3 linked regions of the Lonchura striata genome follow. The protein of the gene in region 3 interacts with the protein of the main gene of each other region in a pairwise test. Links are inferred from orthologs where the notes say so. Each region holds a gene or a part of one and is shown on either strand. Other genes may lie near its edges. The genes, in order: NAV2, DDX17 and RBM15.

Evidence for each region.
Region 1: the proteins of RBM15 (region 3) and NAV2 interact in binary tests that used the Homo sapiens proteins (3 or more experiments, as listed by UniProt). The two-hybrid records come from large-scale screens. The link is inferred for Lonchura striata from reciprocal best matches to the Homo sapiens genes RBM15 and NAV2.
Region 2: the proteins of RBM15 (region 3) and DDX17 interact in binary tests that used the Homo sapiens proteins (3 or more experiments, as listed by UniProt). The link is inferred for Lonchura striata from reciprocal best matches to the Homo sapiens genes RBM15 and DDX17.

The regions. Positions count from the first base shown.
Region 1 is NC_134608.1:57,024,946-57,028,689, forward strand, and holds the start of NAV2 (neuron navigator 2), read right to left. Parts: upstream 3,020-3,744; 5' UTR 2,219-3,019; coding exon 1,961-2,218; intron 1-1,960. UniProt on the Homo sapiens protein: Possesses 3' to 5' helicase activity and exonuclease activity. Involved in neuronal development, specifically in the development of different sensory organs.
Region 2 is NC_134607.1:23,793,763-23,797,506, forward strand, and holds the start of DDX17 (putative ATP-dependent RNA helicase DDX17), read right to left. Parts: upstream 2,877-3,744; 5' UTR 2,591-2,876; coding exon 2,547-2,590; intron 1-2,546. UniProt on the Homo sapiens protein: As an RNA helicase, unwinds RNA and alters RNA structures through ATP binding and hydrolysis.
Region 3 is NC_134632.1:1,367,067-1,370,810, reverse strand, and holds the start of RBM15 (RNA-binding protein 15), read right to left. Parts: upstream 2,317-3,744; coding exon 1-2,316. UniProt on the Homo sapiens protein: RNA-binding protein that acts as a key regulator of N6-methyladenosine (m6A) methylation of RNAs, thereby regulating different processes, such as hematopoietic cell homeostasis, alternative splicing of mRNAs and X chromosome inactivation mediated by Xist RNA.

The sequences.
Region 1 (3,744 bases), on a different chromosome or scaffold from region 3:
AATCTCCCTCTAGATATAAACTGCCATTCCAAATGACCACCTTGAATAGCAAAACCCTGCATGCTTTTGTGGGCAGAAGGAACAAAGCTGGATCAACAAAACTGCTGAATAACAAAAAAATGACTGTGTGAAAAAAGCCTCACTGTCACACCTTAAAAGGTGCTGGTCATCTGCTCAGACTGCCAGCCAGAGGAGGTTACTGAGAATGCAAAGCTTAAGATTTTTCCTGCTGCTGAAGAAATTAAAAATGTAAAATTATCTGACATTTCCTTAGCCAAAATCTTTCCCTGTTCACATATAACAAGTTAGCATCAAGACCCTTTCATCATCAGGCTACAAAAAATGGGGTTTGTTCCACATCCTTGTAAGGGTTAAAACCACCATAGTGCTGCAAACAGCTCCCACTGGCAGATCTCTGGGAGCATGATCTGTTAAAAGAGGCGAAAGTATTTCTGAATAACAACCACTTTTCCAGCAATATAGATTTCCATGCAGAAACCATGGCATGTGTGAGAGAAAGGGCAGCAAATAAAGAGATTTTGCTGACGTTTCATAATCACAAGGATAGACTCGGGCACAAGTGAGAGAGAGCAATTGATTATCTTGTAAGGGCAGACAGGTTGGTCTGTCTGCTGACACTAGCCTGGATCCATGCTTGGCTGTCTCCTTTTCCTGCTCTCAGTCCCTCAGGAACTGCTCCAGCTGCATCTGTCTGGCCTGAGCAGCCCCATAGTCACCCTGTCTACCAGCAAGGAAAGCGCAGCATATCCCGAAATCAGGGCACGCGGTCAAACGTGCCCAATCAGTTGGCACACTTGTCTGAAGGGAACAGGGTTACCAGGCCACAGATTTCAGAATCGAGGTGGTAGGGATGATCCATTATTCCTCAAAGAAGGAAAAAAACCAGGGGAGTCTCTGCCATCACTTCCCTCTCTCTGCATAATGGTATCACCTTCCACCGGCTCAGACATTGGCGGCAGCAGCGTGTAACGCATAGAGCTGCTGCCAAAATACATGCCAGGGCTGTACAGCCATCTCTGGAGCACAGCAATCAGTTGTGGCTGCTGCAGCAGCCCCTCTGCTCTGCTCCCTCCGTGGCACGGTCACACACACGCTGTGCCCACGCTGCTGCTGTGCCCACGCTGCTGCGGAGCTCACCAGGGCAGGGCAGTGCAGGGCAGCCCCAGCCACGCTGCCAACCTCACCCTGCCCACAGAAATTAAGCCAGCTGAGCAATGGGCATCTCTCCTCCCTCTACAGCAAGCAGCACATATAAAAATACATTAGAAGGCTGACACAGATTAAATGGAAACCTAAAATGTGTGCATTGATGATGTGCTGCATCTATGATGTCGTGCACATATAGCATTATACAGGCAATTCCACTTAAGTGTTGCTTTCCTACATAATCTGTTTAATTTAACTGCACTGAATGACATGCATATTGTAATCTAGCATCAAGCACTGCCTCCCATTCACTCCCCACACAGCTACAAACACAGAACATTCACACAACTAGTGCTGCGGTACAGTACATGACCAAACACAAAACCCATTTGTGACAACCAGCAATCCTCCCCCAGCCCAGGCACACGAGCCAGCCCTTACGCTTAGCACCTACAGAAAGCACACAAAGAACACACCCCACAAACAACATCTCCACCATCTCCCTCCTGTAAATCCCCCCCAGTTCAAGCAGAGATGATGGAGAAGGCAGCACGGGCAAGCAGCACATGCAGCCCCATCCCTCAGCACCCCACCACCAGCTCCATCATGCTGACAGAATCACACATGCCACTGTGTGGAATATAAAACATCCCACCGCTGCAGACAGATGTTGGCACACACACACATCCCTTCCTCGCAATTCCATGCTATTTACCCTAGAAAACCTGCTGCACACTCTCAACACAGAAATAAATCCTCACATACACCTCCCCAGCATTTGGTGCCTGCTAACCTGTGTGTCAAATCCGTTTTCTACCGAGCTACTCTTCCTTGCTGGGAGGCCGTCTCCTGCGTTTTCTTGTCCATTGGAAGATTTGAGAGGAATCTGGCTGGAATACAATGGCTTCGTCACCTCCACCTTGTTCCCAAACTTCAGGTAACAGGGCTGTGGGATGGTCCTGGCCGTTGGGACATGCAGGATTGGAGCAGCGCTGTGTACGGGTTTAGGTAGTCCCGATTTCATTTTGGAGGCTACCAGGATGGCTGGCATTTTCTCTTTCTGCTTTCCTAACACGTTTCTGTCAGCAGCAGCAACAGCAGAGACAGCAGGCAGGGAGAGAGAAAATGACACGCTGGGGAAGCTGTTCTGCTGTAAAGCAGCCTGGTTACTGCAGAGATCTCCAAAATCAGCTTAGAATTTAAAATCTACAATAAAACCAATTAAAAAAAATAAAAAAGAGAAAGGAAAAAAGAGAAAAAGAAGAAAAAACACACCACTTTCAGTCTAAAATATTTCTCAGCTTTATGCCAGCCTTCCACCTGTTTCCTCTAATTTTATTTTCAGTTCTTTACCACTGTCCTCTTTCCTATTTCTGCTATGTAACTTGCTCCTTCCTCTCTCTGACTCCTGCAATTTTCTTGCCTGGAAATGAAAGACTTTCACTCCATTATCTTGTCACCGCATCTTCAAAGTGAGGCAGCCTTTGGGGGAAAAAAAAAAAAAAAAAAAAGGAACCTGCTGCTGCATATGCTTCCCCTTCCGTACGCACTAGAGAGTGAGCGAGCAGGATTTCCAGCTTAAGATGTCCTTCTTCAGTCTTAGCCAAGAAGCAGATGTAGCTCAGTGTGTTAATGACTGATGCCCTTGGATACAAGCCTTAGTGAATCAAGCTTCTTAAGCCTAAATAGCTGTGAACAGGACAACGATGCCGGAGCAGAAGGAGAAACGTCCACTGACAGCGATTTTTAAACCAAAATATGTCAGCGGCCACAAAATTTCCCGGCTCCCCTAGTGCTGAGCATAAAAACCTGGACGGGGCGAGGAGTAGGGGTGGGAAAAAAAAAAAAAAAAAAAAAAAAAAGAAGAAAAAAAGAGATTAAAAATGAAAGCGATTCAGCAGCGAGAGGGAAGGGAAAGCAGCCGGCAGCCGATGCAGCTCATGCTCCCTCCCGCAGTGGAGCGGGCTCCCGGAGCATCCCGGGGGGGCCGGGACCAGCCGGGCGGGCGGGAGGCGGCGGCTGCCCGGCACCGAGCGGGCAGGGCGGGCCCCGGATTGGTCCTGCCCGCTCCGAGCAGCAACACACACACACACAAAAAAAATTAAATAAATAAATAAATACTCAAGAAATCGCTCCCTCTCTCCGCAGGGGGAGGAGCGGCTCCCGCGGCGAGCAGGGAGACCTGTGGGGAGGAGGGATCTGGAGGGATGGATGGATGGATGCTCCGGAGGCGCGGCACGGAGCGAGCCGGGGACCGGTTTCTTTTTGAAATTTAAAAAAAAAAAAAAAAAAAAATTCAAATCAAAACACCTGGAAGTGACTTATTGTTCGTGGCCGTTCGGGAAAAAAACTGCCGCTGCCAGCATCAACAGGAATTTGAATAAGCACAGTGAGTAATACGGCCCTGTTATAGCAACACTTGGCTTTGGGGAGGCTCTCAGTGCCGCAGGTTCCGCCTCACGCCGCTCGGTGGATGCCAGGACCCGTTCCGAGCCCCGGAGCCCGCGTTCCTGTTCATCCTGTGGCATTCCAGAGGTGCATTATTCCCTTCCTGCCACACCTGCAGGACAGCGGGAG
Region 2 (3,744 bases), on a different chromosome or scaffold from region 3:
ATTGTGTTTCCTTTCAGGACAAAGAAAAAAAAAAAAAAAAAAGGCGCAGACTTTCATTTACAGGGACATCCACCTTTAGTGATGATGTTTGTTACCAATCATGCTAAACTGAGGTCAAAATGTCAAAAATGTCAGTACCCAAGCAGTTCCTACAAAACCCATAAACCCCAAACTCACTCAAGTCCACTAGAGGGTCAAAGGGTTGATGAGTTTCCTTAGAAAAGGAAACATACGACTGGGCTGCCAGCAAGACTGGACACTGCAAAAGCTAAAAGCTGGGTACTATGAACACATGCTCTAAAGCTATCCAGAGGGAAAAAAAAACTACATATTCTACACAGAAGTCACATAGTTTCAGTTCTCCACTCTAACACACAATATGCCTGAATCCTGACCTGAAAGGAAAAGGAAGGAACCCTACAGCAGCCCTTGAACCCTGACTCTGTGGGGGTTCAGTTGCTAAACTGGCAGTAACTGACACTTCACATTCTGACTCCAAGTAAAAAGAGATTCCAACTCAAATTAAACTGACTTAAATCTAGTATTTCCCTGGTTTGCCAACAGCCCTCTTTTCAAAGGTAAATTCAGGGTGGCTCAAAACTTTCTTCCCTAATATTACTACTGCCATCACTTCTGGGACAGAACTGAGTAAATCTGACACATTCCAGAGGAAAACATAATTTTCCTAAGAAGTCACGTACAGCTCATTCCTGACAAGAGAAAACTAGAACCCTTTTATGTGATTAGACTACAAAAGAAGTGGTGGTAAACTTTCATAAGGTACTGAACCAGCACACTGGGAGGCCCAATATTTTATACAGGTTATTTATGAAGTAAGATAGTTGTTAGTGGTTACAAATATTTTCACAACTTAAAGGGATGTATGTAACAAATTGAATCCTAATGTATTAAAGGTTCCAGGATAATATGCAAAAAAAAAAAAAAAAAAAAAAAAAAAAAAAAAAAAAAAAAAAAAAAAAAGAAAAAAAAAATTTTTCATGCAAATATCCACAGACTTCACAAAGAATCATGGAAGCACTTCTTTTACTCATGCAAAACCCCTGACCTAAAAGAGAAGCAGCCACTATAATTAAAGACTTTACAGAAAATGAAATAACACTAATTTTAAGGCACATCAAGTGTTGTGGCAATGCTTTGGCCAGTGTTCTATAAGTAACTGTATATAAATCTGCATACTCAAACTCACTCACTAAACTCCAAAAACAGCTGTGGTCTGATCTATCTCAGACTTGCCAAAGCGCTTACTCCAATGTCCTTGTGTTAAACTGAGCTGGAAATCTCTTAGCAGAAAAACACCAGAACCCTCCTCTCTGTGAAAAAAAAAAAGACCGAAAGTATCTTTTAATTTCAGGATGTTAAATGTCGGTGTAAGATAAAGCAATGATCCAACTATCTCCCTCCACAGCTGACAAGAAACCGAATGTCAAAGTGCATTGCAATGTATAGCAAAATATTCTTTAATCTGCCAGTGGCAAGGGAAAACACGAGGAAAAGGAAGTGGGAGAGAAAAAAAAAGGAAAAAAATGGAGAGAAGACTCATTAATTGAGATCTAGCTTACTATATAGCAGAACCCACATTATATTTTTTTGCTAAACCTTGAGAACTACTCATGATCTGAAAATGCCACTCTCAGAAATTAGTTCTAACTTTCTCTTTAAAAAGGCCTGGCACGAATGCCTTATTACTGTCAACGCTTAAAAAGCTCGAAACTCACTCTAGTTACGCAGTATAACACCATTGTGTTTACTGCTGTCATTGTCAAAAGAAAAAAAATCACATCAAATCAAACCTGCAAAAGCCTTTTGCAAGCCAAACCTTCTTTAAATAACAGATTCAAGAGTATCAAGCACTAGGCCTTTACAGAACCACACAAACAATTGCTGTAGCACTACGTAAACTTGGCGAGTGTGGTCCAGCACCATGGCTCACCGAGATCACCCGCTCGAGTGCCCAAGTCCCCCAAAGGGCAGCGTTTCCAATCCCATTTCCTATCACGGTAAACCCAGGAGCGCAGCTGAGACAGATCTTCCCCCCTCTGCCATCTTTCCAGTAAGTCCAGAAGGAGCAATGACAACCAGAAGGGCAGACAGAAGGACAACCAGCCCTGCCAGGGCCACCGAGACCTTCGTGGCTCGCAGCGGGGAGGGTGCCACGGGTCCCGCCGGGTAAATAAGGCGGCTGGCAGAAAATAATTAAGGGGGCAGGGTGGATGCAGGCCTTAAAATTGCAAGCAAGGCTCAGAACTAGTTACACATGGACGGTGGAAAAGCTAAATAAAACAAATAATTTAAAAACCCGTAAAACGCTCAAAACCCACCACCTCGCCTTGGGGACAGATAAGCCTCCAACTACCCCCGCCCCCACACGAGAATCCAGGGGGGCAAATCTCCACAGATGGAATTTTAGCTCCCCCAAAACCGCCACTCCAACACACCCCCCGAACCCCTCGGCCTACCCCGCCCCCAACGCAGGCCTTCGGCTTCCCCCACCGCCCCCCGCCGTGCCGACCCCCCCTCCCCCTTACCCGCCGCGGTCTCGGTCGCGGCCCCGGTCCCCGAAGCCTCTCATCGCCCCCGGAGGGGTGGGTGAGAGGCAGCGGAACGCCGGCCGTGGGGACGGCGAGGGACTGGGGGTACGGGGCGAGGGTCCAGCCAGGGGCGGCTGCGCCTCGGAGGCCTCGCTTTGCGCCACCTCGCCTCTTTGGTGGGACACAAAAGGAGAAGAGGTGGTCAGAGGGTCCGAGACCCGCTGGGCGTCAGCGGCCGGAACGGCGGGGCTCTCGGTCGGCTCCAGGGCCCGGGTAGTGTGGCGACACCAGCGTCTTCTTGCTCCGCGCTCCCGGCACAAAATGGCCGCCGCCGCCCCGGCCCGCTCCGCTTACGTTACGGGCAGCCTGGCGCTGCGCAAACTCCGGCCCTCCGAAACACCTACGCCTATTCTCGGAACTCAACTACGCACTAAGCGCGCTCGGCGAAACACCGCCCCGTGCAGTAGCAGGCGGGCTACGAAAGGTGCGTAACGTTCTTTACTTAGAGCCGGGGCCCCGCGTGAGGAAGGCGGAGGGGAGGAGTAACGCTATTCCCCAAAGTCAGCTGCGTAAGGAGCTCTCCGTAACCCCTTCTGCAGGGCAGAGAATACCTGGGCCGAGGCGCACGTTACGTAAGTGCACGGCGTACGTAAGGTGCGTAACTGAGGGTAGCGTAGGGCGGGAAGAGCCCGGTGCGCTTGGCGTAGGATTCTTACGCGGACCGTGCAGGCTGGGCCGGAGGGTTACGCTGGATTCGCAGACGGTTTGAAGAATACGGCCCGTCGCCTTCTCGCCCACGGGCTCCGCCGAGGTGGCGGCGGGGTTGAGGACACGATGATGGGACAATGGCGGAACAATAATGGGACGCTGGGCGACGGGGCGGGAGCGGCCCTTTGGACCTCTGTGGCGGCTCCGGCGGCCGAGGTTATTCCCTGTAAGATTAGCAGGGGGATCTCGGCGCGGCGCGGGGGCAGGAGCAGAGTGACAGCAGCCATGATGTTTGCTGTCGCCTGAGCGCCGGCAGGCCGCGGCAGAATTCCCCACATGAGCCAGAGACTCCTCGCTGAAAGGCAGAATCATCCACGAGGCGATTACGTGGCACAGACCATAAATCCTTTTGTGTTGTGTATGCGGTATTGCCAAGTCAGTGTGTCCTGGCACAAGGAGATGGTGGGGTTAGCCCAGCCAAACCCAG
Region 3 (3,744 bases):
CCAAGCCAGGCACAGTTTGGGCGCTGCCCCAGCCTGCGCTGCTCCATCCTGCTGCTGTTTTTGGGGAGGAGGTTTGAGCCGGGAGCCTCCGCCACCTCCATCCGCCGCCCGCTCGTCCTTTTTGGCCGGACTTTTGCACTCCTGGGCGGCAGCGGCGGCGCGGTGCTTGCGCTCCCGCTCTGCGGAGTTCTTGCGGTCGCGCTTTTCGTTCTGCCCCCGCTCCAGGCTGCCCCGGCGGGACTCCCGGATGGGGGAAGGTCGCTCCAAGAGGAGCAAGCGGGACGAGCGCTCAGGGTCACTACTGTAACGCTCCCGGCCTCCCAGGAGCTCGGGGCTGCGGTCCGGGGGAGAGGTTGTGGCCAAGCAGTGGCGCTTTCGGGAGGAAGAGGAGCGCTCGCTGTCAGGGGAACGGTCCAAGTGCCGGCCTCCATCCTCCGCCAGCCTCCGTTTCCTAGGCTGATCCCTACTGCTACTGCCCAGCTCCCTCTCCCCGCGGTCCCGCTCCAAGGACCACCCATCCCGGCGGCGCTCCAGGCTTTCCAGTGGGTCATAGGCAGCTGCCCGATTACTCCGATCCCGCACAGGGGGCGGCGGGGGCACCCACTCTGTCTCAGGATAAAGGTCTCTGTCACGGTCTCTATAGAGCAACGGTGGCGTCCTGTCCCGGGCCCCCCGGAGAGGGTCAGGGGGGGCTCCCCGGTGAGCCCCAAAAGCAGCCGCCTCCGCCACAAGCTCGTAATGAGCCGGGGGCGGCAAGGGCAGGGGCTGCAGGTAGGGCTGCTGGTACCGATGCTCTGTGTCGGCAAAGTCTACGCGGAGCCGGCGATCCGGCCCCCCCAGGGGAAAGCCCCGCATGTGGGTGCAGGCTGCCTGCGCCGCGTCCAGGCTCTCGTACTGGATATAGGCCCAGGAATCCCCTTTGCGGTAATCGATCGTGCGGATGGTGCCAAACCGATCAAACTCCCTGGCCAGGGCAGCCAGGGGCACCCAGGGCCCGAGGCCGCCCACCCAGAGCCGGGTGGTCGGGGTGGCTTTCCCGTACCCGATCTTGATGGGGTTGCGCAGCAGCACCTTCCCCGACATGGCCAACTTGGCCCGGTGCGCCATGTCCAGATTCTCAAACTTAAGAAACCCATAGGTGCTGGTCTGCCCACGCCCCGGCCTCTTGATGTCCACCTCAGTGATGACCCCGAAACGGTCGAACGCTCGCCGCAGGTCCGACTCGCTCACGGTGATGTCCAGGTTGCCCAGGAACAGCGTGCGGTTGGCTCTCTGGTCATCCTCGGGGCTGATCTCCTCCTCGGCGGCCGCTCCGGCACCTCCTCCTCCTCCTCCGCGGAATCCCCCGGCTGCCGCCACGCCGGCCACGCGCTCCAGCCCGTAGGCCGGCCGCACCCGCGCCTCGTAGAAGCCGCCGTAGTCCCGCTCCCTCTCCAGCTCCCTCGGCAGCGGCGGCGGCGGCAGCCGGCCCAGGGCGAGCTGCTGCAGCCGGTAGTCCCGGTAGCCCAAAGCTCCTCCGCTGCCCGCGGGGGACAGCGCCCGCTGCGCGGCCCCGGCCGGCGGGTGCCGCACGGCGGCCGCCACCGCCCCGACCGCCGCCGCGCCGTAGGGAGACTCCTTGTCCAGCAGCGCCGGGGAGCGGCTGCTGCGCCGGCGGCCGCTGCCTCCGCCGACATAGACGGCCTCGATCTTCAGCGGGCGGTCGTAGAGCACGAGGCGGCCGCGGGCGTGCTTGGCGGCGCGCGCGTCCTCGGGCCGCCGGAAGTTGACGAAGGCCACGCGCTCGTCGGCGGCGCCGGCGCCGGGTGGGAGCCGGCTGATCTTGACGCTCACGTCGCCGAAGCGCTTGAACTCGTGGAACAGCCCGTCCTCCACCGCCTCGTCGCTCAGCGCCGAGCCCAGCTCGCTGATCTTCAGCGTCTTGTACTCGCCGCCGCCCGGCTCCGACGAGGAGGAGGAGGAGGAGGCGGCGGCGGCCGCTCGCGATTCGCCGCCGCGGCTGCTGCTGCTTCGCGACGCCTCCGCGGTTTTACCGCTGTAGCCGTGCCGGCCCCCGCCGCCCGCGGCCGCCGCCGAACCGGTCTCGTACTCGCGGCTGCCGGCGCGGCCGCCCTTGTCCGCGTGGGCGCCGCGCCGGCCGCTCCCGCTGTTGCTCTCGCCGGACGCCGCCGCCGCTTTCCCGCCGTTGGAGCCGCCGCCTCCGCCGGACGAGCCGCTCGGCTTCTTGCTGCCGCGCGAGGAGGAGGAGGAGGACGCCGAGTCCTCGCCGCCCCGGGAGCGCTTGGCCTTGGCGGGCGAGCGCTCCTTGCCCTTCATGGCGGCGGCGGCCGCGCTCCCGCCGGGCCTCCCCGACCGCCCCGCTCACGCACCCGCCGCCATCTTGGAGCCGCGCCGGCACCGCGCGCCGCCCTCCCCGCGCCCATTGGCTGCCCAGGGCGGTGCCCTCGCCCATTGGCCGCCGCTGCGGGGGTGCTCCGCCCACCTCCTGGCGCTGCGCGTTCCCATTGGTCCGCCGCGCTGTCGGTCTGCCAGCCAGCCCCGTGCTCCCGCGGGGGGGGCGGGAATTGCCGCCGTCGCGCGCCTCCCAGCCCCGCTCGCTCATTGGGCAGTTAGAAAGGGCGCGGCGATCTCATTGGATGGTGCTACCTGTCAATCGTGGCTGTTCAACCATGGGAGGATTTTCGCTGCCCATTGAACAATGGGCCGAACTTAGCTCTGCCTGCTGATTGGCTCTCCTGGCCGCCAGTTACAATAATCGTTCTGCGGCCCCGCCTCGCCCTGTGCCATTGGCTCTCCCGCTTAGATGCGAGTTCCCATCGCACCCCTCAAACTCTCGCGAGTTGCTCTGCCCCCGCCCCCTTTCCTCATTGGTCACTTAGCAACCCATCGCACTGATGTGATTGGCTGATCCATACGCCGCTCATGAAGGAGCGCGCCCCGCTCCCGCAACTCTGTTTCTGGTTTCTCATTGGGCGAGAAAACGTCCCCTGGCGTCTGATTGGGCGCAGACAGGCAGAGTGCTGATTGGCTAAGGCAAAAATCACTCAGGCTTGTTCTGGCTCCGATTGGTCGCCGCGGGGAGGGGGGCGGTCCCCGGGCAGAGCTCGCGGTACGGCGGTGCCTGAGGGCTCAGAGCGCGGCGGGCGGTGGTGCGGGGCGGAGGTGCGGCGGTGCTCCGTGTGTCCGTCCTCAGCCCGCCAGTGCGCCCGCCGGGCTGGGCTGAACCCACCGCGGGGCGAGCGAGGGGAGCTCGGCTGCGTTCAGTGCCTGCCTCACGCTCTCCCTGTTTGCTTGTGCAGCCCGCATGAGGCTGCGGCTCCCCGCGCTGCTCTGCCGGCTCTGGAGCCCTGCGGACCTGCAGGAACTGCCTGAGAACACGGGCACTCCTGCTCCGGGCCAGCAAACCGTTTCTTGAGATATTTCCCGTTTAAAGCTGCACATCACAGCGGTTATCCTGGTACATTCCTGCTCTCGCCATGTTTCCCTGGGGAGTTGGAGCTCGGAGGCTCTCGGAGATGAGTTCGGGTTAGGTCTGAGGTGAGGAGGCCTCAGGGAATTCCAGCTCCCGTGGAACAGGAGCGCCTCTGATCTGTGTGTTTTGTGAGAATCCCTCCGTAATCCCTGTGTTTTGTGAGGATCCTTCCATAATCCCTGTGTTTTCTGAGGATCTTTCCATAATCCCTGTGTTTTCTGAGGATCCCGCTGCCACCTGGGGCCCTGGGCGCTTCCTCCTCTTTCTCCTGC